4 linked regions of the Arabidopsis thaliana genome follow. The protein of the gene in region 4 interacts with the protein of the main gene of each other region in a pairwise test. Each region holds a gene or a part of one and is shown on either strand. Other genes may lie near its edges.

The links.
Region 1: the proteins of MYB54 (region 4) and KNAT1 interact in binary tests that used the Arabidopsis thaliana proteins (3 or more experiments, as listed by UniProt).
Region 2: the proteins of MYB54 (region 4) and RGL2 interact in binary tests that used the Arabidopsis thaliana proteins (3 or more experiments, as listed by UniProt).
Region 3: the proteins of MYB54 (region 4) and ESE3 interact in binary tests that used the Arabidopsis thaliana proteins (3 or more experiments, as listed by UniProt).

Annotation. Positions count from the first base shown.
Region 1 is NC_003075.7:5,145,530-5,155,211, reverse strand, and holds KNAT1 (homeobox knotted-like protein), read left to right. Parts: upstream 1-4,052; 5' UTR 4,053-4,601; coding exon 4,602-5,069; intron 5,070-5,180; coding exon 5,181-5,306; intron 5,307-5,410; coding exon 5,411-5,549; intron 5,550-6,096; coding exon 6,097-6,353; intron 6,354-7,036; coding exon 7,037-7,243; 3' UTR 7,244-7,513; downstream 7,514-9,682. UniProt on the Arabidopsis thaliana protein: May play a role in meristem function, and may be involved in maintaining cells in an undifferentiated, meristematic state, and its expression disappears at the same time the shoot apex undergoes the transition from vegetative to reproductive development.
Region 2 is NC_003074.8:815,946-824,451, reverse strand, and holds RGL2 (RGA-like 2), read left to right. Parts: upstream 1-2,799; 5' UTR 2,800-3,172; coding exon 3,173-4,816; 3' UTR 4,817-5,115; downstream 5,116-8,506. Other genes in the region: AT3G03460 (mediator of RNA polymerase II transcription subunit-like protein), read left to right, coding at 1-418, 771-1,383; AT3G03440 (ARM repeat superfamily protein), read right to left, coding at 5,884-6,697, 8,331-8,506.
Region 3 is NC_003076.8:8,703,946-8,711,011, reverse strand, and holds ESE3 (Integrase-type DNA-binding superfamily protein), read left to right. Parts: upstream 1-3,126; 5' UTR 3,127-3,356; coding exon 3,357-3,439; intron 3,440-3,542; coding exon 3,543-4,005; 3' UTR 4,006-4,267; downstream 4,268-7,066.
Region 4 is NC_003070.9:27,596,241-27,604,031, forward strand, and holds MYB54 (myb domain protein 54), read left to right. Parts: upstream 1-5,352; 5' UTR 5,353-5,611; coding exon 5,612-5,732; intron 5,733-5,843; coding exon 5,844-6,275; coding exon of another isoform or gene 6,276-6,334; exon of another isoform or gene 6,335-6,619; coding exon 6,620-6,798; 3' UTR 6,799-7,077; downstream 7,078-7,791. Other genes in the region: AT1G73400 (Pentatricopeptide repeat (PPR) superfamily protein), read left to right, coding at 1,866-3,572. UniProt on the Arabidopsis thaliana protein: Transcription factor that regulates secondary cell wall (SCW) biosynthesis, especially in interfascicular and xylary fibers.

The sequences.
Region 1 (9,682 bases), on a different chromosome or scaffold from region 4:
GTTTCATCTGAAGTAATAAGTTTGCACAAATTATTACCAAATAGTCTGCCCATGTCCGAATTAGTTGGGTTTAACTTGGAACAATAATGCCAATAAAAAGACGATAAAAAAGGTAATGGACCAATAAATAAATTAAAAATAGTTAAAAAAATTGAGTTATTTGTCTTAATAAAAATTAAATATCAGAACTATTTTCTATTCTTAATTCAACTTTATAAAAACTTTTTTAAAAGAAAAAAAATCTATACAAAGTTTTCCTGCAAATATAGAAAACATTTTCTAAAATAAATTGTTGTATGTTTTGAAAAGACAAAGAATTTTAGCAGTATTTTGAGTATTATACCTATTTTGTTTTTTGGACTAGAGTATTATACTAAAATCAATAAGTTGGATACTTGATTTTGTTTTTCTTTTTTCCTTTTTGATGGTTTTGTTTCATATTTCTATCTTGTGTTTCATATAATAAGGACATCTATTTTAATTTTTACAATTTATCACATTTACTAATAATGTTCTTAAGAAACCAACAATTATTGAACCACTATTTTGTTACTGTGCAGTCATTTATTTTCTTTTTCTCTTACTTAATTGTCTATTCTTTACCACCTAAACACTTATTGCCAACCCACTAAAAGATAATAAAAATTTGTTTTCTTAGTTATCTTATGCGTATTTTGAGTCTAATTAGTCAATACATGTTCTATCTGTAAGAAATGGGCTATATAGAGTAGTATTAAAAAAAAAACTAAATCATTTTTAGGGTGATTAAAGATACATTTATATTTCGTATTTTATCTTTAAAATATCAGTTTGTAAGATCTAGGAAAAATTGATAATGACAATAAATATGCATGTTTTTATATAAAATAGCAAAGATAAAATTTATGTTGGTAATGTTTAACATTTGTCAAAAGAACTGTAAATACTTTCAAAATAACGATTTTTTTATTGGAAAAATTGAACCTTTATACCTCAGAAAAAACAAAAACAATATAATTCCACATATGAAATATTGCTCCCTATATAACTGTGGGCAACAATAATATATGAATTTAATTTTTTAAATTAATACATAATTTTTACTGTAGATGATTTATGTTAATTAAAGGAGATGGTTGGTTGGTGGTCTTTTCAAAAATGGAATAATCACAGTTTCTAACTGTTAATAAGAATGCAATAAAGTTCTAAAAGATACTAATTCAACAATAACATCAACTAGATATGTTTTATCTAGGTTGTCAATTTCTTTTGTTCAGTTTAATAATCATTTTATATAAACAAAATCACAATATCCTTATGAATGTAAAATCTTTAAAATAGTCTTAGGTTTTCAACTTTCTACCATCACTGTAATTTAAATTCAAGTTTTCATAATTCAAAAAAATAAGTTATGAAAACAATGATTATTTTCCTAAAATTATATTTAGCGTGAAAATCGCCAAAATGTCAATACATAAAAATTAAAAAAAAACTGAAATTCAATTTCTACATATATTTACTTATAAGTAGATCTATCGATCTGTTTAGGTACTTAATAATAAAAAATATTTTGGTTCACCGCTAAAAATAAACTAAAATGTTCACCTCCTTTTATTCATGCTAATAAGAATTTACCATCTAATCAAAAACTTAAACTTATTTAACTATTAAAATTCATATGTCACCAAAACAAAATTATGTATCAGTTTGGATTGATAGAATTAGAATTTAGATTTTATAATTAAATAAAATTATATATCAGTTTAGGTTTATTAAAGTGTGGTTAGAAATTAAATTTTATAATAAAATAAATTTATTTATTTATTAGATAACAGGTTTTGATTGATAAAATAAAATAGGGTGAACAAAATAGTTAATTGTGACAATTTAGATAAAAACCCGAAACATAAAACCTACACGAACACAGATGATGATTATAGATAGACACATGCACGCACGTGGGCTGAAGCAGGAGGAACAGTAATAGGTGTAGTCAGTCATTTTTTTCACTTCATTGCACTGCCAAATCTTTTGATCACTGTTAATCGTTGAATAAAAACATCCAACGCATAAGTCAATCCCCTACTCTCACTTCCACTGCCTCTCTTTCTTTCTTTCTTTTTTTTTCGTTTTCCACTCATTAACCATTACTTACTGACTCGTAGTTCTATTTTGGCCATTTATTACCGTCAGTTCTTGTAACCTGGCCAATTTGCAAATATGTACTTTATTTCTAGATTTGATTAGCTTATCATCTCCTTTTATTTTCTTAACATTTGACCATTGATTGAAAATGATTGATAAGTAGCTATGTTGTATTTAGAGATTAGTTTAATTAGTGTATCTCTTGAGTGTTTTATTGCAGGTTTAGATAACCTCATACAAGTCGTTACATAGTTATGAGTAAATGAGTTTATTAATAAATTTAGAGAACAATCTATGCCTACCGGTGAATTTTTATATAATAAATTGAATGTTTTATTTTATTGTTATAATTGACTTTCTAATCTAAAAGATAGAATTCTATGAAATTGTACACACTTTTGAAAACAATTTTTTTTTTAATAGAAAATTATAAGAAATTAGATCCATATGGTTATGGGTATTATAATATTTTTATTTATATATATATATATATATATATATATATATATTCTTCTTGCATGACCATATTAATGAGAATATTGGGATCAGAGACTTATTTATAGTGTGTTTTTAGTCTATTGCACTTGTGTTTTGGAATATTATGATATTTAATTCAAAGATGTACCCTTAATGAATGATCTTTTATGATGTCAATGTTTCAGCATCTTATACTGAAACAGAAAATAAGAGGAGGTCTTAAAGGAAAAGAAAACATTTCGAATGCAAAAATTTAACCTTTAACATTTTCGATTTTTTTTAATGAAATTCTAATAATATTGGTTCTAAGCAGCTGATTTTATTTTTTTAATAGTAAGAAATAATATATGTATACATATATATTTAAATATTTACTATCAAAATTTCCGGCATAGCAAGTCATAATTTGTAAGAAATCTTACATTTTGTTGTTTACAAACTCTCACAAGTCACAATGTAAGTTTCGGTCTAGTGCAGTGATGAGGTAAACAAAAAAAAAAATCTATCGATGAGCCAACTTTTTGATCTAGAGCCCTAGGATTTGACGATTTATATATAAATAAAACCCTAGGATTTTCGTTTCTTTTTGTATAAAAATGAATTCATAGGCACTCTATACGTCTCATGAATCATGAAATATAAATCGAGATTAAATAGAAAATTGAATGTTGACCGTGGAACAGAACAAGTGTTGAAAGAAGTGTGTTTGCAGCATGGTCTTATCATAGAGCCAATAGTTGGAAATTAGCAGAATATCGTATAATATCCACTATCCTGTAAAGCATTTTTATAATTCCTTTTTTTTTTCTCGGTTTCTAATGTAATCTTCTATCCGATAACAAATATTCGGATAGTGTGATCTCTCCACTAATATACATACGAAATTACGAAAACTAAAATTATAATTTCATCGATTTGATTAAACTCCAAAAACATCCAAGTCTTGCATCAAATATGTACATTTCTATCATATTGTTTATAATTCTTTTTTTGTTATCCGTAAGTTTTAGGCAGAAACCCGTACAGTGAAACCGAGGACCAGAACAAGATAAACGTAGTCCCCTCTCCTAAGTATAGAATTATAATGTGACACATGATCACAATTTGTTGAACGAACTCTATGTTCAACCACTAGACTACAAATTCTTGGGTTTATATCGTATTAGAAGTATATATAAATCATACATATTTTTTTTAAAACTTTTTTCTTGACTATTCTTTTAAGAAAAAAAAACATTTCATTACTAGAAAATAGTACAAAATATATCATTCAACCTAGCAAGAAACCATAGCCTGAAGTAGCCGCGAAGACCTAGTTGCTTAAACACTGAGTGGTTCATCTTAATTCGAATATTATAAACCACATTTTAATTAAGTAAATTACTTAGTCTTGTTCTAATGTATAAAATAGCCTATGAGAGGAAAACAGAAGAGAGAAGCCTTTGCCTTATCTCTTGTCCCTTCTCTCTTACCTTTATTTTAATTTTCAAATATTTCTTTTTGCTCCCAAAGCAAACGACGTCTTGTCAATCCACTCAAGCCACCCAACTTCTTCATTATTGTTAATCTCTCTCTCTCTCTCTTTCTCTCTTCTTCTCTCTTTCTCTTTTTTTTTTTTTTATTTTCTTCTCTTCCATGTCACTTCCTTGACGAATTCTATATACCTAGTTCGTTTTTTCTTCCTCAAATATATCTTTTTCAATTTATTTGGTTTTTCTTTGGGTGCAACTTCACCTCACAAAATTTTCTCTCTTTTTTTATATTAATTTGAGTTAGGCCTTTTTGATTTCATAGATGAGTCGTCTAGTCGTCTGGATTTGATGTGGTTATAGTCTTACAGAGACCTTTGATTGAAATAAGAACAAAAGCAAGAATACATACATCCTCTTCATCTTACACCCATCCTTTTTTATTTTTCTAGGGTTTTATTTTTTTTTAATTTATTTTTTTTCTTTGATTTTTATATTCTCTCTCTCTCTCAAATCTTTACTCATCTGGGTATGGAAGAATACCAGCATGACAACAGCACCACTCCTCAAAGAGTAAGTTTCTTGTACTCTCCAATCTCTTCTTCCAACAAAAACGATAACACAAGTGATACCAACAACAACAACAACAATAATAATAGTAGCAATTATGGTCCTGGTTACAATAATACTAACAACAACAATCATCACCACCAACACATGTTGTTTCCACATATGAGCTCTCTTCTCCCTCAAACAACCGAGAATTGCTTCCGATCTGATCATGATCAACCCAACAACAACAACAACCCATCTGTTAAATCTGAAGCTAGCTCCTCAAGAATCAATCATTACTCCATGTTAATGAGAGCCATCCACAATACTCAAGAAGCTAACAACAACAACAATGACAACGTAAGCGATGTTGAAGCCATGAAGGCTAAAATCATTGCTCATCCTCACTACTCTACCCTCCTACAAGCTTACTTGGACTGCCAAAAGGTTTGGTTTTATTCTTATTGTTATGTTATAATATATACTCTTTTTTTAAAGATATAATATATAGTTATGTGTGACATATATATGTATGTTCATGGGTCATGGTTTATATAGATTGGAGCTCCACCTGATGTGGTTGATAGAATTACGGCGGCACGGCAAGACTTTGAGGCTCGACAACAGCGGTCAACACCGTCTGTCTCTGCCTCCTCTAGAGACCCGGAGTTAGATCAATTCATGGTTCATTACTAACCAAAGTTGAATTTTAATTAAATGGGTCGGTTCTTTGTGTGTATATGTGTTAGAAGTCTTGATTTTCCTTTTTTATTTTTTGGTATGAATAGGAAGCATACTGTGACATGTTGGTTAAATATCGTGAGGAGCTAACAAGGCCCATTCAGGAAGCAATGGAGTTTATACGTCGTATTGAATCTCAGCTTAGCATGTTGTGTCAGAGTCCCATTCACATCCTCAACAATCCTGGTACATGTCATCAATCTCATATACATACATATATGCACATGTAAGAAATGGCTGGAGAAAACAAAGTGTAGTGGCAAGGTAGGGCTAATGATGGATTGCATAAATTGGCATGTTTCTTTGGTTCATGGTAAATTGTTGTAACATTGAGATATTAAAAAAAAAAAAAATCATAGTCTACATACATTTTCAAATGTTAATTAAGATTATAAGATAATTAAGATAATTGAGATGCATTATTGTTGGAAAGTATGTAAGATACAAATAGGTGTGCATATTTGTTCTTGTTTTCCCCATTGTGGAATCCATCCAAAGATGGGTGGGGCTTATTTTTGTTTTTTTTCTTTTCACTCGGCCCAAAAGTACTATCACAAGAACTTTTGGTGCTGCTCGTGAAGATTTATTTGGGACATTATCTTCTTCGATTTCGTTATGCTAAAACATCAAAATCTCTACTCGGATTAATTAGTCTAATCATAAAGGTAGATGACTAGAATGTTGTTAAATGACTAAACCATTTAACTTCATGAAATATATTATGTTGAAGCAGATGGGAAGAGTGACAATATGGGATCATCAGACGAAGAACAAGAGAATAACAGCGGAGGGGAAACAGAATTACCGGAAATAGACCCGAGGGCCGAAGATCGGGAACTCAAGAACCATTTGCTGAAGAAGTATAGTGGATACTTAAGCAGTTTGAAGCAAGAACTATCCAAGAAGAAAAAGAAAGGTAAACTTCCTAAAGAAGCACGGCAGAAGCTTCTCACGTGGTGGGAGTTGCATTACAAGTGGCCATATCCTTCTGTACGTATAAATTTTCTCTCATCTCTCTTTGCCCTCATATTTTTTAAAATATATACTACAAATTAAGTGTTTTAAAAACCTATCTTTAAGCTAGCAATTCCCTCTGAAGCCGCTATGTTAGGCCAAGTAGGTACTTGCATGACCGATTTTGTGTTTAAATCCTTGTACGGTTTCCAACAACATGGTTTTAAATCCGAATGCTCACAACACTAGAATTAGTCACTAGGATACATATCTTAGTCATGGTGTTCTAACCCTTAACATACTATTTTCTAACACGTATATCAATCACTTTTTTTTAAAAAATGTAAGTTTGTGATGAAATTTTTATCCATATATTTTGAAACAATTTAATTTTTTTTGTAGTTTTAATTAGTTTGAAATGAAATAACTAATCTAACCGACTGTAATGATAGTGAAAAAAACATGTTTAATATTGGTAAATATAAATGACATGTTGTTAAAAAGATAATAAGACAACATATAGTTAGTCGTTACTTGATGTCAAAGAAAAATGAAGTTAGTCATTTTACTTAGAGAATCGTTCAAAACAACAAACTTTAGGTCATTTTCCATTTTTATGTCTAGAATCATTTAAAAATAATTTTCGATTATCTCTAGCATTGCTTTTTATACATTGATTACTACATAAATGAAGATGGTTGGTTTGAGTTGTGTGGCAGGAGTCAGAGAAGGTAGCGTTGGCGGAATCAACGGGGTTAGATCAGAAACAAATCAACAATTGGTTCATAAACCAAAGAAAGCGTCACTGGAAACCATCTGAAGACATGCAGTTCATGGTGATGGATGGTCTGCAGCACCCGCACCACGCAGCTCTGTACATGGATGGTCATTACATGGGTGATGGACCTTATCGTCTCGGTCCATAAGACATCCAAAAGCTTTAGCCACATAATAACAACCTCTCGTTGCTTTCTTGTTACAACTCATGTTTTGAATTCCCCTACATCAGTTTGCTACTTATAGCTTTCTTTGTTTTCACGCCTTTTGTAATGTCTTATGTCGTTCGGGGAGTTTGAGACTTCCTAGTCAGAAATATCCCTTCATTTTATTTTCTCTTTTTTTCGGTGTATTTTGTTTTTTTGTTTTCTCACTAATGTTTTTATTTAATAATGTGTGAAAGGAAAATGCTATTCTGAAAAGGTGTTGCTCCATTTTTTTATTTTATATGGCATGAAATGTATGGTTTTGAAAGACAAAACCCAAATTGATCTAATGGATTCTTACATGCCTTTCCACAAGCTAAAACAAAATCCACAAAATGTAAAACATCGATAGTTGATAAGTCTCAAAACCATCTTTGCTTCGAACACGGTTTCAGGCATATATTATGACTTATGCGAAAGCATTACATCATAATACATAGGTCATGGAATCACTACCAGAAAAAAAAAAACTATTGTCGAAAGATTAAGTTAAAGATTCTCCCTTTGCACCCACTCGTCATCTGATGCGGACATCCAAATTAAACCAAACCGGGACCATACCAAATCAGCCGGTACATTTATCAAACCGATTGATGAAGAGCATTTTGGAGGACTCTTGCCCAATTGGAGTCTCAATCAAGCACAAGGCCTAGGGTTAATTATTCACCAGCAAATTAATTCTAAGAAGACTAATGATGATTCAAGAAGGGTCAAAGACCAGCGAGCCGAGTCACCATATTGTGGGGATATGACCGTTGCACTCTTTTTCCCTTATCTAGGGTTTGTCCCAATGGGTTTACCTAGAAAGGTTTTTAACGAGGCAACATCAAGTCATCAAGGAATCATTTACCAAGCAAATGATTCGAAGATATCAAAAGTACATATATTTGATGTACTTGCTAACAGACCGGCTGAACTACTTGCTGAAACTACCTTCTGAAGTACCGCACGAAATGAAGCCAAACAAGGAAATCTTCCTTATTCTACACTTGGACGCACCTCAAAGCTACATATGGAAACCAGGAGAACATCTAGACCACACAAGACTTATACCACACGAACTTTGGTACATCTTACCACACAAGAACCCGCTGAGCTACTACTTGCCATATATGGAGCCGAAGGAGATCGATTACCAACAACTCTTTCCTTCTTTGTTTGTGCGCTTATGTGAGAATCTTGAGACCCTCCAGAACCTTCCAAGACGTCACAACTTCCTCCCCAAGTTGACAAGATACAAGGCACATCTCACTTGCCTTATTTGGACATATTCTACAATTAATGTCCAATATTTTCATTTATGTTTTGTTTCTTTCATTAATGCCTTAGAACATTGTATTCAGCTCTATATAAGCTGATTTCTCATTCATTGTAAAGCAACCCTTGATCATTTTAAAGTAACAGAAACGTTTTCTTGTCAAAGTTGAGTCTTTGTCATTTGTTCTTTAGTTCTTTGTGAGTGAGTCATGAAGTACGTCAGGAATCTGCGGATTAAGTTTGTTGAGTGATTCAACATCCTTCATTCGTTCATTGATCGAGTGAGTCGATTACCCAACTGATTGAGCGAGTCAATCACCCAACTACCCATCAATTCCCCTTGAATCGATCCCACACGAGAGAAGCGATCGCCAGCGTGTTAGATCACCACCTTCATCATCCCACCTTCCGCGTGGCAAGTTTGGAACTCTTGCTCATCAAGTGATCAAAGGATGGATTAGCTCCAATTCTTGCATCATCATCCTTTTTTTTTTACTAATGTTTTTAAAGAGTTTTTTGCAAAACTAGTCATTTTTGAAAACTTAATTAAAAATATAGCATCAATCACGAATTGGTCAAGATTTTATGTTCTTTTATTATGTTCCAAGATGTATTTCATCTCTACTTCACTCTGATTACATTTAATCTAATTAATGAAAGTTGAGTTGAAATTTTTTTTTAAGAATATAACATCATATATATATATATATATATAAATTAAGAAAATTGCATGTGAAAGGTGAGAAAAAACAATTTTAGTGTAGAGTTGTTGGTGAGATGATTTAGTGACACTTAGTTTAGTTTTCAACTATTTGTATTTTGGGAAATTTGAGTGTATAACAAAAAAAAAACTTATATTAACTAACTAGCTATTCTAACTATAAGACTATAATATTCTATGTATAATCTATAATAATGCCATATTTGCCCCATGTTGTAGGATACATAGTTCTTTTATTTATTTTTTAATTTATTTTAAATATTTATCTTTCTTCTTCTTCTATTCTATCTTAACAAAACAAAAATTATAAGTATCCACCATCACGAAGTCATAATAATTATTTATCACTGTCACTGTCACAACCGTATCACCGCAACCACCTCGTCACCGTCACTATTAGTGCC
Region 2 (8,506 bases), on a different chromosome or scaffold from region 4:
AACAACTCCTACTTCAAATGCAGCAACAACAACAAATGCAACAGCGTCAACAACAGCTCTTTCTGATGCAGCATTTGCAGAAACAGCAGCAACAACAGGCGGCGATGTCGATGTTTCCGCCGAACGCTGACGCTCATCTCCGGCCACCGGGGTTGATTCCGAACCGACCCGTTAACCCGTTTCTTCAGAACGTGAACCCTAACCCTAATTTGATTCAACAAGCCAATAAATTTCAGCAACAGCAGCAGCAACAGATGATGATGATGATGCAACAACAACAACTACAACAACAACAACAGCAGAAATTGATGCGTCCATCGAATCAATTGGAGATACAATTCGCTTACCAAGACGCTTGGCGTGTTTGTCATCCTGATTTCAAACGACCTTTCGCTTCTCTCGAAGACGCTTGTGAAAGGTTCGTCTAATTCTGTTTTTCCCCCAATTGTTTTCTCATAGAATTGAATTGATTTTATGGATTGTTCTTAGAATTCTGGGTATAGTGATTACTTGAAATAGTTCTTTGACTGAATTGATCTCTCTGGTAGTCATTAGTTAATTGTATCATCTTTTCATCGTAAAGGCCAATGCTTTATTGGAGTTCTTCAACTTTTTTCTCGGGATTGCAGAAAAAAGTTTTCTATTTTGAATTCCATGTGACATTGTATATGTTGTTGATCCATATATGAAATGTTTATAAAATGTGGAATTTCACTATTTCTTTGTGACATTTACAATTTTCTCTGTGATTTCACTATTTTTTTTTGCAGATTGTTACCTTATCATGTTGTAGCAGATTACGAAGCAGAAGAAGATGATAGTATCTTTGATTCAAACACAACAAGCCAGACGCTACCCCGCTGTCAGCAATGGGACAACAACATTGCAGCCAAAGTTGCAGAATTCACGGCGACATTTGAGGGACAAGTCCAAGCTTTCGACAGGATAATTCAAAAGAGAAGCGATGGAGACAGAGTTGAGGAAAGGCTGATGATGGAACAAGTTTTGCTCAATGACGAGAGAAACGCATGTATCCAGCTGGATAGGGAGATGAAAGCTCAGGATGCGAGGTTAAGAATGGCGGCTTTGGCTCAAGCAGCAGGACAAGCAAGGGCAGAAGAGTCTCAACAGTCTCATGCCGAGATGATGGCTCGTAACCCGTTGAGAGCTAATGCGATTGGGAATCATGGAGAACAGGGGCGTAACATGAACCCTAATGAGATGATGTTGCTGATGAATGGATGGGGGAACAATAACAACAACAATAATAGCCAGAAGGAAGAGAAGGAACCATTAGAAGATTTCTTGAATGATGAAGAAAATGAAAATGGTGAACATGAGAAGTGGCGAAGAAGTGGGGATTTTGATTTGAATATTCGGTAAATGAAACCATGACTCAGATTTTCTTTTGGTTTGGTTATCCAAATACTCGTAGTTTGGTGATGTAGTTAAATCTTGAAAGGTAGTGAATAAGGTGAAAGATAAATTGACGATGATGAAGTGTTCTTTGAGGTGGACTAGTTTTGGCGAGTGAGCATGACGCGCTTCAGTTTCGATTCTCTCATCTTATGAATTTTAAAAGAGGGATCCTAAATAAAAAGTAACAAATAATGTAAACCACAAAAGCAAAACAGGCCAATTTAGACACAAGTTACATCAAATGACTAAAAATGGAAAAGCATGCACCATGTGACTTCTAACACAACAACGAATATCATTTTCTTGTAGCTGCGATTGGGACCATACCTATATACAATCCCCACAACATTTTTCTATAATTTATTTTCTTATATTCCAAAAGGATCTTTTACGGTTTCCAAACGATACCACTATTCGAAAAAACCTTAATTATTATGCATGATGATGATGTGTGTATGTAAAACTGCTGAAAGATATATGCAATAAATTAATGAAAGTAACCTTATGTTGTGGACGTCTCGTAGGCTATGTCTTCCTCTACGTGGCACATGAGAAGTTGCTCATGTGTCCCCCTCAAATACTTGAGCTGTAGACTGTAGTTTTATCTCAGTGAAACAATACATAGCTAAAAACATATTTGTTTATCATTATGGTAAAAAAGAATTCACATCACCAGAATGTTAGAACTTGGTCAAGAAAAAAGAGAGTAATAGTTGAATCATATTTGTGTCTGATTATACTTTTCTTATGGACCAATAAAATAATTAGTTATCTAATGTTGTCTCAGTTTAATATGATCTCTAAAAACTGATTACTCTATGACATTAAACCTGCTGGTAACAAAAAATTGTTTGCTTTGAAAATTTGTATTTTTATCCAAACACTAACAACTTAGGATTCTTGCTTCATGATTATACACTTTCGACTGAGGAAAAGATTATATACTTTCTACCAAGATATGAGAAAATCAAATTTGTATAATTCAATATTTTCAGTTGTCATTAGAAAAGAGTTGATTATCAAATGTCAATTATTTAGTGAAAAAATAAACATTATCCAACATAAGGAAAAAAACTACACTTAAGTGCCATTATCTTAACACGCATTTGGTGCCGTTTGGGTTTAAGAACAACGAAGTCGTAAGCGAGAATATGACAATATTCAATGGCATTTAAGAACAATTAAGTCGTGATCGTCTATAAGACTATGACACTATCATTAAAAGACACTTTAATCACTTCACAACTTAAAAACATCTTACCAACAAATATGACGAAAGCACACTACAACCTAAAAGTTATAAAGTTCCATTGGTCAAAACTACTAAACAGATTTAGAAATCTCTACTAAACAGTTATAAAGAAAATTATCCATTACTACAAAAAAAAAGGAGTAAATTTCTTGGAGTTAGGAAAAAATGAAAGAGAGAAACAGATGCCAAACAATAGTGGCATGCTCTGATTCTTATCTCTTAAACACACTTCACAGTCACTTCTCTAATTGGACCTCTCTCTCACTCCCTCGTGCTTTATATATTGCTCCTCTCAGAATCTCCTTTCTTTCCACAAAAATTGTCTGTAACCAAATCACAACAAAGACCCACAAAATTCTTTTTTTTTTCTTTTTCAAATCCCATTAATAAAAACCTTACCAACCCATGAAGTAAAGTAAACTCCTTTCTTATAAACTCTCTTTTGTTCTTTTTTTTTCAACTTCATCAGTCTCTTAACTCACCATCACAAGAACAAGAAAGATGAAGAGAGGATACGGAGAAACATGGGATCCGCCACCAAAACCACTACCAGCTTCTCGTTCCGGAGAAGGTCCTTCAATGGCGGATAAGAAGAAGGCTGATGATGACAACAACAACAGCAACATGGATGATGAGCTTCTTGCTGTTCTTGGCTACAAGGTTCGATCTTCTGAGATGGCTGAAGTAGCACAGAAGCTTGAACAACTTGAGATGGTCTTGTCTAATGATGATGTTGGTTCTACTGTCTTAAACGACTCTGTTCATTATAACCCATCTGATCTCTCTAACTGGGTCGAGAGCATGCTTTCTGAGCTGAACAACCCGGCTTCTTCGGATCTTGACACGACCCGAAGTTGTGTGGATAGATCCGAATACGATCTCAGAGCAATTCCGGGTCTTTCTGCGTTTCCAAAGGAAGAGGAAGTCTTTGACGAGGAAGCTAGCAGCAAGAGGATCCGACTCGGATCGTGGTGCGAATCGTCGGACGAGTCAACTCGGTCCGTGGTGCTCGTTGACTCTCAGGAGACCGGAGTTAGACTTGTCCACGCACTAGTGGCGTGCGCTGAGGCGATTCACCAGGAGAATCTCAACTTAGCTGACGCGCTGGTGAAACGCGTGGGAACACTCGCGGGTTCTCAAGCTGGAGCTATGGGAAAAGTCGCTACGTATTTTGCTCAAGCCTTGGCTCGTCGTATTTACCGTGATTACACGGCGGAGACGGACGTTTGCGCGGCGGTGAACCCATCTTTCGAAGAGGTTTTGGAGATGCACTTTTACGAGTCTTGCCCTTACCTGAAGTTCGCTCATTTCACGGCGAACCAAGCGATTCTAGAAGCTGTTACGACGGCGCGTAGAGTTCACGTCATTGATTTAGGGCTTAATCAAGGGATGCAATGGCCTGCTTTAATGCAAGCTTTAGCTCTCCGACCCGGTGGACCTCCGTCGTTTCGTCTCACCGGAATCGGACCACCGCAGACGGAGAATTCAGATTCGCTTCAACAGTTAGGTTGGAAATTAGCTCAATTCGCTCAGAACATGGGCGTTGAATTCGAATTCAAAGGCTTAGCCGCTGAGAGTTTATCGGATCTTGAACCCGAAATGTTCGAAACCCGACCCGAATCTGAAACCTTAGTGGTTAATTCGGTATTTGAGCTCCACCGGTTATTAGCCCGATCCGGTTCAATCGAAAAGCTTCTCAATACGGTTAAAGCTATTAAACCGAGTATCGTAACGGTGGTTGAGCAAGAAGCGAACCACAACGGAATCGTCTTCCTCGATAGGTTCAACGAAGCGCTTCATTACTACTCGAGCTTGTTTGACTCGCTCGAAGACAGTTATAGTTTACCGAGTCAAGACCGAGTTATGTCAGAAGTGTACTTAGGGAGACAGATACTCAACGTTGTTGCGGCGGAAGGGTCCGATCGGGTCGAGCGGCACGAGACGGCTGCACAGTGGAGGATTCGGATGAAATCCGCTGGGTTTGACCCGATTCATCTCGGATCTAGCGCGTTTAAACAAGCGAGTATGCTTTTATCGCTTTACGCTACCGGAGATGGATACAGAGTTGAAGAAAATGACGGATGTTTAATGATAGGGTGGCAGACGCGACCACTCATCACAACCTCGGCGTGGAAACTCGCCTGAGTCGCGGCGGTAGAGATGACTCGCCTGAAACCGGGAAAAACAATAAATGTTTTAAAAAATTAGGAAAAGAGACCGTAACTTTAGTTATGTTTTTACTTTTTAACCCGAAGTTTTTGTGTGTTTAACCTTTTTGCCTAAATGTTTACAACTTTATCTTTTTGGACCTTGTGCGTATCTTTGAGAGTTAAGAGAACGAGTAAAAAATCTTGTATCGTAGATCGAGCTAAGTAGTTTTCAATAAATGGAAGGATAACGATTCTGTATGTTTTTTACTTGATCCAATATATATGAATTTATTTAAATGATTTTGTGTCATATATTTTTCAAATTTGGACAGTTTCGTTGATAACATGGGAAGTGAACGTGAGCGTTTCTGAAAAGGCGGATCCAAAATGTACTTTCAGTTTCGAGGACTGATGTCAGCCTTTGTTAAAAGATTTTCTTCGAAATATATTTTGGTACATTTTTGTTTTCGAAACAGATTGTTCTTTTCTCTCTCTTTATTATGGGTTTGATGAGGTAATATGGATGTCAAATTGATTTTGACGTACGTTATCAACTTTTAAAAATATGCGAGGTGAAATTATTCTACTTTTATGAGATCATAAGCCTCAAATTCAATGGTCTTCTACCTAAGAGTTGGTGGATCTAAATTTTGGGGGGTTTCAGTTTTGAAAACATATATGAAGTTATTCTTTCTGGAATTCAATCTAGACGTATAGTCAAGAAGGAAATTATAAAACGACATTAACGTAGGGATTTTGGTCGGATAGGTTCGGATTATATATAGAACACTCCAATGGCACAATAATATCATTGAAACCTTTTTTTAAAGTAAAAGCGATTCTATAAGTAATGCATGTACACACAAAAAGACTTTAAATTACAAAATGATTTTATTATGAACACTTTTGAGTAAAAAAAAAAAAAACCAGTCACTAAGAACCAAAGCGCCGGCAACTGGACTGGCATATATATATTCTTCAATCTTCATCACCCTTATTCGGAGTCAAACCACCGTTTTTATACTTGGAAGAAACCTAGGGATTGCGGTTTTCGATCACAGGTTATGGACGAACAAGAGTCGAGGCACGTTCTTGTAGATGTCTCAAGCTTTTTTCCATGCTAACTTGGACCATTTCAGCTAGCATCTTCTTTGCCTTACCGGATTGATCATCTCCGTCTATATGAGAGATTAAGCTTGACACTATGTTTTCTATTGTATCGGGTTGGACCTCTGATCTCGGACTTTCCGAGTTCCTTAGTAAACAGAGAAGTCTTTGAGCTTTAATCCGAGATTTCGATGTCCCCTGAACCGTGAGCTCAAGCAGTCCCGGTATTACACCTTCTCTAAGAATTGGCTCTCTGTATTTACTCCTATCGCTTTGGCAGAGCGTTAAAAGCACGCCAACGGCATGTTCCCGAGCTTGTAATGACCCGTTTTCAAGAACTTCCACGACCGCTAAAACTCCTCCTTCATCAGAAACTAACCCTGTTCTCGCCTCCTCACCAGAAACCATCAAGGCCTCTATTAGTGAACAACATTTCTCAGATGTTTTCGACGACTTTTTACTTGATTTGAGAAGATTCAGTATTGGTGAGAGTGGTTTAGTTGCTAGGATCATGCTTAGGTTATCGGGGAGTGTAGAGAGGTTGGAAAGAGCCATTACTGCATCAGCTTTAGCTTGTGGGCTTCCATGTTTAATGACCTTGACTAATAAAGGAACCACACCATTAGCTCCAATGATGGGTTTGTTGTTTGCTGACGCGGAGAGAGTGAGCAAAGATGCAGAAGCATACTCTTGAAGTGTTGGGCTATTTGATTGTAAGAAGTTGATGATTGGCTCTAAAGCACCGGCTTCAATTATACTCACTTTATTCCTAAAATTTGAAAAATTAGAAACAAAACTCAGAATAATAGTCTCAGAGGAGAATATTCATCGAAGACAATGACACATATGTTTCTAATCAAATAGGCAAAAATCAATCTTTCTTTCTCTAAGACTTTACTCTGCATTCAATTTAAAAGTCATATGAATTGTAATCAAGGGAAAATAGAGTTGAAGCCACCAACCTAACCTCTTAGGAAAACCAAGCAGACGTAATTTAATTAATGTTTATGGGACACCAAAATTAAAGTAGGAAAAGATATTTAATGAAAACAATAGTATAAGAGAGGAAAAGTGAAGCAAAAGAAAGGCGTGAGTCCTAGTATCTTTACTGTGCTAGCTCCATGTCTTCTCTCCACTAGATGGATCCCATTAATAAAAGAAAGTGATGATCTCAGAGTTTAGACCAAAAAATAAATTGACTACAAAGTCGTTTGCGTATAAACTAAGAAAGATTCAGTAGTAAGGAAAAAATATCACAAAAAATACTCAAGTCTGGTAAAGCAGGGACCCTACAGATGCGGAAAGAGCTAATAAATTAAGTTAGGCAAACTTATTAATACCTACCCCAAAGCAAAGAGTTAGTTAACTTCAGGTGATTTCCATCTATAAACTATCACTTAACTTTTAAATCATCCTCTGTTTTTAGTTTGACACAAATTTAAAGATGCACCACTTTGATGCATTGAGATTGGCTTGTTATTGTCCTCTCTTTCTGATGGAATATCAAAGGACGGGGGAATTTGCGGCCGGTTAACGTAGAGAAAGAAAGATTCTTTGTTTTAGTGTTATCTTGCTACTTGATTCTTTGCTTGCTAAAGGAATGTCAAGACTAGTGAAAAAAAGAAAAGAAAAAAGGAAAAGCTAAGCTAACATGACTCCTATCTTTTGTGTAGATCAATCAAAATTTCATCTACAACTAGAAACCAATCAACTCTCACAAAACATGACAACAGTAAAAGAATCAAGTCAGAATTCTTCAGAAATCGCATAACCAAAAGAATAATTTAAAAGTAAAGAAGAGTATCCCTGATGACGAAATATCCTGTTCCCTAAAAATGGATGAACCCTAGGAAAATTTTGAATCCCCAGTAACCAGAAATCCTTCAAATGTAAGCAAAAAGGATATAAAAGAGGAACACACAAATAAAAAAAAGCTTGAAGAAACATAGAGTACACTCCAAGCAAACAAAAAGCAATTACCAACAAAGTTGATTGATCCACCCAATCTTATTAAAGAAAAGTGATTAAAGCAGAAAACGAGATTGCTACGATCGATGTTATCCATTTCGATACAATTACCTAATCATCAACTTACACGAGACCGACCAAAAAGGAAAGAATTGTGACACCTATTGATTCAATCATGACTCCATTTTCTCACCGGAATGATAGAAGTAATGGAATCATCATCATGAGTTTTTCATAAACGTGTTTAAGTTCTTAAAACTCTCTATCTATCTTCTCCGAATTTTGATATCTAGTTTCTAATGAAATCACGTAATCTATTATATCCGATATGATTAATCTAACTAATCCCAAGCTAAGAAACCACCACTAATCAGATCAGTATACGAAAAACAGAACAAATTCGAAAAACAGAGAGGAGGAAGAAGACAACGTACTTTTCGTCTTTGACGGCGAGGTTAAGGAGAGCGAGTAAAGCAGCCTCGTGGTGAGATTCAGGCGAATCAAATCGGAGCATAGAAACGAGAGGTTCCACGGCTTGGGAAAAGTGTCGGCGGCACCTATGAGACGTCTTTGTCAGCCGACGGATCTCTTTAGCAGCAAACAGCCTCGA
Region 3 (7,066 bases), on a different chromosome or scaffold from region 4:
TTAATTTTTGTAACTGAAATTATATATATCAACAATCTCGATATGAAACTATTAGCTAATGTTTATGCCCTCCAATCTTTGTATATATATCTATCTTAGGGGATCTTATTCAGTCATAATATTTAACCGAATATGAGTTCAATCGTAATCTATCGTTGTTCATTCGGTATGGTTTCGCCTAATTTTAGAGTTAGAGCCAGCGCAAATAGTGTGACTAGAGAAAGTCATTTTCAATCATCTATGACATTTAAAGGACTCGTTTGACTTCACAAACAAGTGTTGGAGGAAGTTGTTGTTTGGTTAATGGTTTTAATATCGATGATCATAAAACATAAAGAAGTGACCTTGAATAGTTACTCTTCAAACTAACTGATCTGAAATGTGTATGCTAACATATAAGTAACTAGAATGCAACGCACAAAACTATATGTTCGCGGTTAAAAAAAACAAAACTATATGTTAGAACCGAGAAAGTATATATTATATGAGTGTGATTATTTAAAATAATTTTTAAAATAGATTGATTTTGGTATATATAGTTAATTTACAGCTGAATGAAAGAAAAGGACATGAATCACAATCAAAACCATTTCATCACCCATGTTTATCTATGTCGTTTTGGGTCCCATGTCACGCGTTTACGACCTAGGCCCTACTCATATTTATTCATAATTCTTGTCTGATTTTCCCATAACTTTGTATGTAGTCCCAAAACACTAATTGTTAAATGTTTTCCTTTTTTATGGTTAAAGATAATTGTATATATTCGAGTTTCTCATTATCTCCAAGTCGACAAAAAAAAAAAAACAATTAAGATAAGTTATATAATATGAGTCACCAAACATATGATGAGCCTCTATGCTATAAAGACAAACAATCTAGACATAATTAACGAATGATCTAGTTGTTAAATTCATATTATAAGAGTTGCAAAACCGTAGCACATTTTGTGTGTGTAAATCTGACAAATTTGCTTCAATTACAATTTATAAGGATGATACCTTGTTTAATCTATTTTTTAATGAACATTGTGTATTTATTTTGTTGTTGTTCATTGCCATGCATTTGGGAGATAGATATTGAATACTTTTTCTCTTTCAGAGGTATGGTACTAGTTGAAACTTGGAAGATTAGTCATCACTACTCACACGTGCCAAAATAGTAGCAAAGAGACAAAATCCTCAATGCAACTTAAAATAAAAACAGTCTTTGTTATAGCTAGCTAGCTTCTCACCCTCACATGCTTTGCTATATTGTTTGATCGACCAATACAATTAAACCACGTATGAAACAAAGAATAGTTACCTAAGTAAAAGCGAATATGTTAGACATATCAAAATTATTTTTGTTTAATTAAAATTACAGTTGTAGTAATGTTGTTATTTCAAAGGTACATATATATTTCCATTATGTAACTTGCTGATATTAGCATTCAGTACCATCCTTCTTTTACTACACCACCGAGAGAGATAAGTTACTTTCTTTTTTTTCGTTTTCTTATGGACATGGATGCAAATATACAGACAAAAAAAAGCATATGTTGAATAATTATTAGGGTTAAGAATGATTATTAGTAGGGTGAAAATGATCAATTATTTGATAAAAAGTTAATGACCTTCTCTAGTTGTTTTTCTTGTCGTCATAATTGCGGTCTAGGATTCTTTCATCAATTTGATACTGGATTGAACTAATAATATTTGGCACTTGTTATTTTGATGTATCCATTCTACCTACACACTCTTTTGCCCAACATATTCTTCTATTACCTCTTATTCCAATTATAATTGACTCTAAAAGGATATAGTCTCAATTGGAGATTATTTTTTTTTTAAATATGCGTGCGACTGAATATGATCGACATAACCTTTACTTTTATTTGATGAAACTTTGTCGAACAAAAGATAAATTGGCAAACAAAAACATCCATATATAAACCCAAATAAGAAGTGGTTACTATGTGACATTCCCTATACAATTAACATATACTACTATCTAAAAATTGTAGATAAGTTTATGCAATATTATACTAATTCCCTCTCCAAGTTTCAGTAATGGGCATAATCACATATTTATTAATTATTAAACCTATGTTTTTAATTGAAAAATAATGTATTAGAGTTTTTTTTTTAATAGGTCGCAGACTCGTAGGTAAACTGTACACTCAGAAATCATGGGTATGATGACAATACATTAAGGTTTGTTTCAATAATAACAATACAAAATAATATTAAAGAAGGGAAAAGAGAAGATGATAATCGAAGATGGTTTTGGGTGTTTGATTGAGTCATTATCAAAGGCTCACATGGGTGAAGAATGGTGATGAAAGAGTCTCGCTAGTTATCAAACTATATATTTTCCAATTATTTATCGTTATTATTAATTAGTTGGGGAAAAATTTGGCAGTATCTATGATATAGAGACATGTTGTGATGATCAAACCCATGTGAAAATAGGTACAGTGGGTTTGAAGTTTCACCGCAGCCAAATCTCTTTGGATCCAACTTGTTCACAATGGGAAAATTAAAATAATTGATAAATATATATGCTATATACGTAGGGTTGTTATTATATTTAGAGCTATTTATTAGTTTTATCTTAAAAATACCCCATAACTTAGGATATTATAACTATAATTGTCTAAGTATAATATGTGTAACTTGGGACAAAAGGAAAAGAAAAAGGTTTGGATTAAATTATCTTAGGTTTGATTTCTAAACCGTTTTAATTAATTTATATTTGTTGATAAAAAATTAGCTTTTGTTACAGAAATAAATTCATATGAAACTATTGAACATTTGTAATTTTGTATTCTAACAAAAACTGTGATAAGTTTGTTAATTCATAATTTAAATTCTATTTTAACTTTTAGATAAATTACGATAATACTTTCCAAAAAATATCTCTAAATAAAAAAAACACTTTTCCGACAGTTTAGCATGTAGTTTCGAAGCTTTCAATTTTCACTATAATATGTGACAGAATTAGATAATCCATTTGCCCATGTCGCAGCAACTTCGAATACAACAAATGAAGTAAATTTAAGAATACTTTAAGTTAAATAAATTAATATAACTCTCTCTCTCACATCAAACAAAATCCATGAGATTTTCTGAGTCGTATTGGTAATGGTGTGGGTCCAATTTAGGACCAAATTGATTGCCAGTTTATTGCCAAAGAAAATTTTAACACAAAAACATTTCTCTCTCTCATGAAGCTAAAGCCAACACTACTTATATAGCTACCCTTCACTCTTCCAAAAACGCTCCTTCACTCTCATCATTCTTTCTTCTTTCAAAACATTTCCACAAACACACCAAACTCACCTGAAACCCTATTTCCATTTACCATTCACACTAATGGCACGACCACAACAACGCTTTCGAGGCGTTAGACAGAGGCATTGGGGCTCTTGGGTCTCCGAAATTCGTCACCCTCTCTTGTAAAAACTCTCCCTCATCATCCTCTCAAATTACGAAATTACCCTCGGTCGCTTTTTATTTGAGTAATGCTAAACTTTTTTGTTTTTTTTTTGTTTTTTTTAGGAAAACAAGAATCTGGCTAGGGACGTTTGAGACAGCGGAGGATGCAGCAAGGGCCTACGACGAGGCGGCTAGGCTAATGTGTGGCCCGAGAGCTCGTACTAATTTCCCATACAACCCTAATGCCATTCCTACTTCCTCTTCCAAGCTTCTATCAGCAACTCTTACCGCTAAACTCCACAAATGCTACATGGCTTCTCTTCAAATGACCAAGCAAACGCAAACACAAACGCAAACGCAGACCGCAAGATCACAATCCGCGGACAGTGACGGTGTGACGGCTAACGAAAGTCATTTGAACAGAGGAGTAACGGAGACGACAGAGATCAAGTGGGAAGATGGAAATGCGAATATGCAACAGAATTTTAGGCCATTGGAGGAAGATCATATCGAGCAAATGATTGAGGAGCTGCTTCACTACGGTTCCATTGAGCTTTGCTCTGTTTTACCAACTCAGACGCTGTGAGAAATGGCCTTGTCGTTTTAGCGTATTCTTTTCATTTTTATTTTTGTTTCCACAAAAACGGCGTCGTAAGTGATGAGAGTAGTAGTGAGAGAAGGCTAATTTCAAGACATTTTGATCTGAATTGGCCTCTTTTGAAACACTGATTCTAGTTTCTATAAGAGCAATCGATCATATGCTATGTTATGTATAGTATTATAAAAAAATGTTATTTTCTGATTTTTCTCCATGTAAACCAATTGAACACTTGAAACCAAAAACTAAAAATTACACATGTGTTCGTGTGTGAAAAAGTGGGAATTTAATGTAGTGAAAAGATACAACAATGAGAAGAAAGATATCTAAAGTAGTGAAGAGAGATGAGAGTTTGAATATTTTGAGTTAGCTTTTGGTTTTGTTCCATGCATGTTCTAATTTTTCAACGGTGGGCCTTCATTTTTTTATTTTTATTTTTGGTAATTTGGGATTGCTGCTAAGTAGAAAAAGAGTGTCCCTAGCTGTGGCTTGACGACCATAAAATCCAACTTTTTAATTAGAGGGATTTGTGTTTTCTAGCACCTTATATTAAAATAGAAAAAATAATTTAGCTACATAAAATAGGTGTTTGACTGCAATTACTCTGTTTCCTTAGAACACTCTGTTCTTCGAACAGTCCAAACCTATTATTTATTTGTTTTGTTTGTAATGCGAATAAAAGGAAACTAGTGTTTTCCGACCACTACTTTAACTTTTGTAACAAAATATGATTTACATTTACTACCTTAAGGTTGAATACGAAAATAAAAATATTCTCTAGCAAAGAATGGAAAACATAACATGAGCAGGCTTTAATATATCCTTGACGATCGGTTGATTCTTCTTGCATACATATACGCGATAATATAATATCAGTTGTTAGCAACAAGCCAAAATAGCTAAATAATGGCAATTCAATATGGTTAAAGCTCGTTGCGATATAACCAGTACACATGCAATGCATCTAAATTGCAGCAGACAAATGATTTGACGTTAGGAATTATTTGGATTTAAAGATTTTCTTGCCACCTTAATTATTTGCATGCAATAGATGATTTATTTTTCGACACAATAAATTTGATAATCCTTATAGGTTTTTTTCTTTCTTAAACAACAAATCTGATCATTCTCAAATTAACTTGCTATATTACTCAAATTACAAGCACAAAATTGCATGACCACTTATATTTGATAAGGTTTCTTTTCAAATCGTGAAAAACTATTTTCTATTAAATCTACAGATGATTTCTTTGCATGGTACAGATAATTTGTTTGTAGACATAGATTTCATTATTCTCAAGTTTAAGATGACAGAATCTCAATTATTTCTCAAATATTGTTTTGTTATCATACATAAATTCTACAATTTAATTCCAAAAGTAAATTTTTGAGGTGAAAGAAATACAGTTTTTAAAGATGTTCCAAACTATTTAACTCAAAGTTCCGTAGGAATGCATGCGATCACAGTTGATTTGGTAACAAGTGGAAATTGACTACGTGACTATGTATATTCTCCGAGATCCATTAACAACAAATAAAGTAAAAGAAGAAAATAACCAGTTATATGAGACAAAATGTGTCAAAACAATATTATTTGATACACATTAGAATCTCAACGTGATATTATTTTTTTGGATCGAGGTCTCTATCGAATAAACCTTATAATGATTATTCGACGTACCTGTTTGGAAATTGATTTTGTTTCCCCACAAACTTTCTAAAAAAGTAAGAAAATAAAGAAGAGGGAATTATAAAAGTATAGTTTTATCTCATTATTCTGTTTTTTTAAAGCATTTTGAAGCAGCAAAGGAGAGAATTTAAAATAATGGGCATGCTTGTGAGTTCTTCATCATTACTTCTTTGAACTTCTGTGACCCTTTTTTCCTTTAAGGATGGTTTTATATTGCCCCAATAAAAATTTCACTGCACTCACCAAATAAAGAATAAATGGGTAAAAAGTAGCGATTCAGATTCACATGAAAATGTATGTTTTCCATTCTTTTTATAGAATATTTATTTTCGTATTCAACTCGTGTTAGTAAACTGTAAATTTATTTTGTTCACCCGATCGAGTTTTACCAAAAGTAGTGCACACCTATATGTATGGTTTTTGTTCTTGAGCTTATTTCTAAAACATCTTTAGTTAATGTGAAGTTGTGCATTTGGTTTACTTAATATTTTATAGAGATTATGAGTTTGAACATGTTTAAGTTGATTATCTTCATTTTTTCAAAAAGAGTTGATTATCGATATTCCTGCTAAAGAACAGAAGAGCCGGTTGGGAACTTCGATAGTTGGATCCAATATTCAGTGTAATTTCAATAATCGGAGTATACAATTTTTTTAATTTGAATTCTTTTAGATAAAGAAATTTAAGGTTAAAATGATATATAGAATTTTTTCTAAGAAATAAGTGAATGAAAGCATTTTTAGTTAGTATGTAAAGAAAAACTATTAATTATGAGCTTCTGATTTAAGGTTCACGACTTCACTTCACGTATGGCTTCCCAAAATAAATAGACATAAAAATATTAGAGAAAGATCTCTCGAAACACTTCCTTCTATCATTCTCAAGCTAGCATGCAGATTCATAACATCCAACTTGTCGTAAAAAGAATGAAAATCTTTTGATAAGAATGATTAAACAACCAAATGAATCAAGACTTGAATCATAGAGAATTAACCTAATTTAAGTATGCTTATTGAATTGATTGAGATGCATGCAAGAGGATAATTCAAGGACAATTTCAAATTACAAATCGATATTTGAAACTACTCATTTTTTTATATATTTTTTTAAATCCTTTGTTATCTATGAACGTTGCTAAACTCCCGTCAAATAAGTTCACATTTGTCTTAACATCGGTTCTCATCGTTAAATATCTATTTTCATTTAGTTCTAGTTGAGCTATCGATTCCAGCCCTTGGGTGCATAAAATACCTTGTGATCCAGAAGAAGATAAAGGTGAAACTTTTTAGTTCTATTGAGGTTTATAAATTATAATATATAAAAAAAAAACTAAACGATTGTTTCTCTATGTCTGCATGT
Region 4 (7,791 bases):
AGGGCGGTTTGTGACGACACGTGTCTACTATCATTCCGTTGCTTACTATTGGTTCGATGTTACCCACAGGTTAAAACTTAAAAGGCTTAAAGCTACTTTTGTGTCTTCGTTTCGTCTACGACTTGGTTTCCTTTTATAGAAACTGACTTAAATTATGTTTTATTTTCATGTAACCAACTAAAAGACCCAGTAAAGTAATCCGATCGTTACAAGTAAATCGACACGTTGAATGCAAATTTTTGGTTTAGGGTTTTCTAATTTTGCTTAGAAAAGGTACTAATCAAAATAAAACTGTATCTAGCATGAATTAGTATGATGCAACTCTTTCGTTAGTTTTTTTTTTTTTTGTGAAGTCTCTTTCGTTAGTTTTGGTTTGCTTTTATTCTCTCCTTTTAATAGTTAGGAAGAAATCCATTATATCTGCCATGTTAATTGCAGTCGTAAGTAAATTTCAAACTTAATCATGGTCATTGTTTTTATTTGGTTGTCCAATATCGATCCTATGTATATCCAACTATATATTAAGATATCATGTGATAAAAAAATAAAAATAAAAATTGTAGGAACGGTACTTTAATTTGGGAACAAGAACAAAGAAATTGTGATATTTCTTTACATTTTGAATTCTCTAAGTTAAGTTTTAAGTTTTCTAATTTATTGGTTTGGATTCTTTTTCTATGTTCTGATTTTATTATTATGATTCTCCTTAATTCGCTCGGAGATTGAAGAGTGAATGTGCATACAATCTACTTAAAAACCAATCCCCCAATTGTATCCCTCCTTTTAATTTGGTTTCTGAAAAAAATTGTGAAAAAATAATGAGAAATGCATTAAAACCAAAACCATAGAAAATGCAATGATTCACAACGAGAGTCTCAAAAGTCATAACTACGCTAACGGCCACTTGTCACTTGACCAATAATTTGAAACGAAAAAAGAAAAACCATAACTTGTTGCTATATGCCAAAAGTAGTATTGCTTCTTCTCTGCTACTTGCAAATTAATTACATCGTTATATACATACCATTGATTAGACTATTAAATTTTTACAATCGGCAAAATCTAGAGTATCTAATAATGTTTTGTGTATAGAATCTGTAAATATTTGTTTAGTATAATGTAACAGGATAATTCTCATTCGATATAAAAAACTACATATATATTAGTTGTTTTAGGCCATCTCCATCAGTATTTCTGAATGAGAAACTTAATAATAAAATAAGAACAAAAAAGTGAAAAAGTAGGATAGAGAGGGAGAAGAGTACCTCACTTGAGAAACTAAGAGAATCGTTTTTCTGACAGAATCGCCACATGTCAATCAAATATTAGTTTAACTATTACAATTTAAATAAAATATATTATATAATTAAAATAATATTTTTTTTTTTTTTTGAGAAACTAGGAAGAGAATCTTCCCGATGCAGATGCTCTTATGTAAAGAGATGTATATGTATATTATTTATTTGTGGCTCTATGATAAACTAGGAGTAGAAATTTTGATTTATGGCTTGGTTTGGTTTTAAATTGATATTTTTTTGGTTTTCTCTTTTTTTTTTTTTTATAGAATTTGATATTTGATATCTAGAGTCTAGACCTTGATGTAAAAGAAATTGGAAATTTGATTCCCTTTTGTTTAAGACTTGAAGTAGTGTGTAATTCAAACCAAACAAAATAGTTTTCGTTGTTAAATGAAGAAAGCCCATTAAAAATGAAAAGGCCTCAACAAAAGAAAAGCCCATTTAAAATCTTCCAATTTCTCTCTCTCTCTCTCTCTCTTCTCTATGTCGTCCCCTTCCTCTAGTTCCTCTCAGTCTCCTTCGCTTTAAACCTCTCAACGAATTTATTTCCGAGTGATTGATTACTGAATGATGCGAAGACTCGTCTCTTACTTTGTTCGTTCTAGATTCTCCTTGCATCTATCCACAACACCACCTCAAAGGTCCGCACTTTTCTCTCATATATTGAGTTCTCATCTAGATTCTATTCAAATCAACAAAAAAATCTCATCTTTCTCTGTGCATCGATTCTGTTCCACGACTTTGTTAAACCCAGAACTAGAAATTACCCGTATAGAGAAAGTTTCCGAAGATCAATCATTGGTTTATTGCAATGAAAATGATATTAGAACAAAGGGTTCTAATCATGCGGTTGGAATCTTACACGAAGCTATAATGGCGAATTTGAATGCGTATGATGATATGGAAAAAGCCCTTGATGAATCTAGTGTAGATTTAACAACTCCTGTGGTGTGTAAGATCTTACAAAGGCTTCAATACGAAGAAAAGACGGCTTTTCGGTTCTTCACTTGGGCTGGACATCAAGAACATTACTCACATGAGCCTATTGCTTATAATGAGATGATTGATATATTGTCAAGTACTAAGTATAAGAATAAGCAGTTTAGGATTGTGATTGATATGCTTGATTACATGAAGAGAAACAACAAAACCGTTGTTCTTGTTGATGTTCTATTGGAGATTCTCAGGAAGTATTGTGAGAGGTACTTGACTCATGTTCAGAAATTTGCCAAGAGGAAACGGATTAGAGTGAAGACGCAGCCTGAGATTAATGCTTTCAATATGCTTCTTGATGCTCTGTGTAAGTGTGGTTTGGTTAAGGAGGGTGAAGCTTTGCTTAGAAGGATGAGGCATAGAGTTAAACCTGATGCGAATACGTTTAATGTCTTGTTCTTTGGGTGGTGTAGGGTGAGAGACCCTAAAAAGGCAATGAAGCTGCTTGAAGAGATGATTGAAGCTGGACATAAGCCGGAAAATTTCACTTATTGTGCTGCTATTGATACTTTCTGTCAAGCTGGAATGGTGGATGAGGCAGCTGATTTGTTTGACTTTATGATAACCAAAGGCTCTGCTGTTTCTGCTCCAACCGCAAAGACTTTTGCTTTAATGATTGTGGCGTTGGCAAAGAATGATAAGGCAGAAGAATGCTTTGAGCTAATTGGGCGTATGATAAGCACGGGTTGCCTTCCTGATGTCTCGACATATAAGGATGTAATTGAAGGTATGTGTATGGCTGAAAAGGTAGATGAAGCGTACAAGTTCCTGGATGAGATGAGTAATAAAGGTTACCCGCCTGATATAGTCACATACAATTGCTTTCTTAGGGTATTGTGTGAGAATAGAAAGACCGATGAAGCACTTAAACTTTATGGAAGAATGGTAGAGTCGCGTTGTGCTCCTAGCGTCCAAACATACAACATGCTGATATCTATGTTTTTCGAAATGGATGATCCTGATGGAGCATTCAATACATGGACTGAAATGGATAAAAGAGACTGTGTTCAGGACGTTGAAACATACTGTGCTATGATCAATGGGCTTTTCGACTGTCACAGAGCTAAAGAGGCGTGTTTTCTACTGGAAGAGGTTGTGAACAAAGGACTCAAACTGCCATATCGAGTGTTTGACTCTTTCTTGATGCGTCTATCGGAAGTTGGTAACCTCAAGGCAATTCATAAGGTTTCTGAACATATGAAAAAGTTTTACAACCATAGTATGGCTAGGCGTTTTGCACTCAGTGAGAAGAGAAAGAGTACAAAACTCAGAGGGAAGTAATGTGAACTGAAAACTGTTGGACCATATCATCATACTAAAACAAAGAACCATTTTCAGTGGTGCGATGATTCTGTTGCCTAGAGAGGAGCTCTTCGTGACTATGATCCCTGGTGAAATTTCATCCATCACAGTCTCTCTAATTCTGGACCAATAAGCATGGTTTCGAAAGCAAAGATACCTATCCAGGTCTATTGTCTAATGGTTATGTTGGTTTCTTTGAAAAGGCTCTCACAGCTCACAATATGTTTAACGTGTTCGTTTAAAGTCATTGTATTGACCATTGCATACATAGAGATAGAGCCGAACTTTGTATGATCCTTAGCAATGTGAGAGGCTTGTTTTCCTTATGGTTCATGACTATTATGGTTTATCTTCTGCTCTTGCTCTCTGATTCTCGAGTTTGATGTGAGATTCTTGAAACATTATGATGCTAGAACAGTGTCGGTTCATCGTTCAGTTCTGGTAACAGGTTCAAGTCTCAGGAACTCTTGCTGAAGAAGTCTAAAGACATGACACAGTTGGTCTGTCAGCCTTTGGTGATGAAGTACCCATACAGTTGTAAAATAAAAAGCCCACTGGTATATAATATTTGACCGGTTTAGTGTAATCAGGATCCGGTTTAGTTGAAATAGGTCATTTTGCGACGAAAATAGGTTAAGTTTAGTTATGATAGGTTCGAAAGTCGAAACTGAAGAAGGCTTCTCTCCTAACTACCGATAGAACAAATGAAGTTGATTATTGGCTTTCTTTCCCAACTAACTCTCTGTTTTATTTTATTTTCCTACTAAACTTTACCAGCAATTATTTTGGTTTTTGCTTACAGATTTTTTTTTTTTGAAGAAATGTTCTAATTAGTCCCACGGAACATTCAATGTAACTGATTCTGTTTTTAGTCCTGAATGTCCGAAACCTATAAAGTTCCGTTTTGGACAAGAGAGACGTGCTTGGAGACCAAATATTTGACCACCTTTTTTATTTGTTTACGACTAAAATGATTGACCACATGAGAATAAAATTTTTGCTAATATATTTCATCACTTGATTCAATTGTATACACCTTCTATTTTATTTACAGTTTATAAGAAAATACCCATTGTAAAATTGCAAAGAAAAAGTTAGTTGTATTGTCTCCACTTTGGACGATATATTCCTAATTAAGGCTTAGAAAAAACGTTGATTAGGTCTGAAAATATTTATCTTTAATTATTATGGACGATATTTGATACATGAAATAAATTTTTGTCAGTGTAGGATATCGATATTTATTATATGTGAATACGTAGCTTGCCAAGATTACAGAAACGTAGATGAGTATTGGTGGCTTGAAGTAGCGGGTGTAGGTTAGAACTTAGAAACAACAAACCTTAAATTAATACTATACGAAGAGACGTTGAGAGGCTAACGAAATCCTGCCCACACCAAGCAATCTCTAGTCTATGCTCTTATTTTCTACGATATTATATATTCTATAATTATTATAACTAAATAAAATCCTAGTTGTAAAATAAAGGAAAGAAAAAGGTAGATTACGTAGAAGGGGGTGTTTTGTTGGTTAGGGAAGACGTTGGCATCAGTCGCCGGTAGAGAGGTCCGTCCAAACCCTCCCGACTCTCTAACGGATTTTGTTTTATTTTATTTTAATTTTCATCATATAAAATGTATATATATATATATATATATATATTTTCTTTTGGTAAAGACATAAAATGTATATTAGACGAAAAAAAAGAAGAAGACATAAAATGTATATTATATATATACTCGCAATAATATAGACTATGTATATATATACGTGCAGGTGCTCTTCAGCTTTCTTCTTGTTCCCACATACCCATCTTCCCCAACCTTTTCCCAAGAAAAAAAAAACTTAGGGTTTTAATTTCTTATATATGTACATAAAATACATGAACACAACAAATTTTTTGCGTGCGTTATTGATATAGAATCTGTGTGTTTTTCTTTTTCTTTGTTCTTGTATTGGTTTGGATCGGTATACTTAGTTAATTACGTAATTAAATAGATCGGCGTGAAGAAGAAAAATGATCATGTGCAGCCGAGGCCATTGGAGACCAGCTGAAGACGAGAAGCTCAAGGATCTTGTCGAACAATACGGTCCTCACAATTGGAACGCCATTGCTCTCAAGCTTCCTGGTCGCTCTGGTAATTGATATCTTCTAGGGTTTGTCCATATATACAAAACTAGCTAGGGTTAATTTTGATACTTTGATATATATATACATATGAATTAATTGTATTGGTGTATATATGCAGGTAAGAGTTGTAGATTGAGATGGTTTAATCAATTGGATCCAAGGATCAACCGAAACCCTTTCACGGAAGAAGAAGAAGAAAGACTTTTAGCGGCTCATCGGATCCATGGGAACAGATGGTCCATCATCGCAAGGCTTTTCCCTGGAAGAACTGATAACGCCGTCAAGAACCATTGGCACGTCATCATGGCTCGTCGCACACGCCAAACCTCTAAGCCTCGTCTTCTTCCCTCGACGACTTCGTCTTCTTCTTTAATGGCGAGTGAACAAATCATGATGAGTTCTGGTGGTTATAATCATAATTATAGTTCCGATGATCGGAAGAAAATATTTCCAGCAGACTTTATAAATTTCCCTTACAAATTCTCTCATATCAATCATCTTCACTTCCTAAAGGAGTTTTTCACCGGAAAGATCGCTTTAAATCACAAAGGTAAACTCAAAATGATGGAGAAGGATCCATTTTCTATAGATGTGTTTGCATGTATATGAGTCTTGCACGGATTATTGATGAAAAAGGTATATATGTTCCAAAATTTTGAAATGAAGTTTAGCCGAATTTTTTTACTTTTCAAAGAGTTTAGCCGACTTTTTCATTTGCATAATCATTTTTCTAATGAACTTCAAAATTATGTGACAAAATTAGTTGCATGTTTTTTCTTGTACTCATCATCATATATTGTTTCCGTCATTACATGAAGTCATCTCTATATATTTAACATAGTTGCAATCCACATAGCTTATAATTTCGTCCTTCTTTTATCGTTTGGATCGCAGCAAATCAGAGTAAAAAGCCTATGGAGTTCTACAATTTTCTACAAGTAAACACAGATTCAAACAAGAGCGAGATTATAGATCAAGATTCAGGTCAAAGCAAACGCAGTGACTCGGACACCAAACATGAAAGTCATGTTCCATTCTTCGACTTTTTATCCGTTGGAAACTCTGCCTCCTAGGATTAGTTTTTTTGCAGTAACTCCTAAATTTCTAGATTAACTATTTAGTCCGTATACGTACGAGATTATCTAGGTCGTTAGCATGTATGCTTGATGTGTATAATCACTAACTAGTGAGCTATTACCTGCGAAAATTGTAAGAAAAATACATAATGTTGATGTATCACACATTCTCAATGTCTGTAAAATTTCCATCGAGTTGTTAACTATCAAAGTTATCCGTTTGAATGTATTTGTTTAATTTGTCTTGAATGAGATGAATAACATGTTTAAATGTTTAATTCTGTTACCAACAATTTAATTATATATATATAACGATTAATTGCTAGTTTGTTTCTTATTAAATTTGTATCATATTTATTCAACGTTCAAACAAATCACCGTTCAATTGTTTATGCATAACCCGATCATGAACTCGACCTCGAGAGGCCACAATATTATCAAAATTTGAAAGTATATATGTACAGTTGAAATCTTATATCGTTGAGATTATAACATGAAAAAAATCCAATGTTTGATGAAGAAGCAAAAGGTGTTGGAAAACTCTTTTTACTTCTTACTTTCCTTAATCGTTTTCTTACAACAACACAACCATTATGTAGTTCTTGTACTTAATCTAATTAGAAATTTGTTAATAACCAAGACCCACCCTTAATTGGGCCTTGTTCACCTCTGGGCCCAATGGCCTTTTTCTCTCTTTTCCTTCACTCTTCTTCTTCTTCTTCTTCTTCTTCTTCTTCTTCTTCTTCTTCTTCTTCCTCGTGCATACCTTGCTGTAGTTCCCTCTTTTCCTTCACTTGCTCCCTCATAGTTCGAACCCGTGCATACCTTTTAATTTCTGTTGAATTTCTCATTGTCTTTGGTATGGTCCTAATCTCAATACGTCTCTGTTTCTCATCCATCTCTCCAGGGATCTGAAATTTCTTCCTCTGCATGTGCTCTCGTGGTTTCTTCCTTGATAATTCCTTGCTCATTCCCTGCATGTGACTCCCG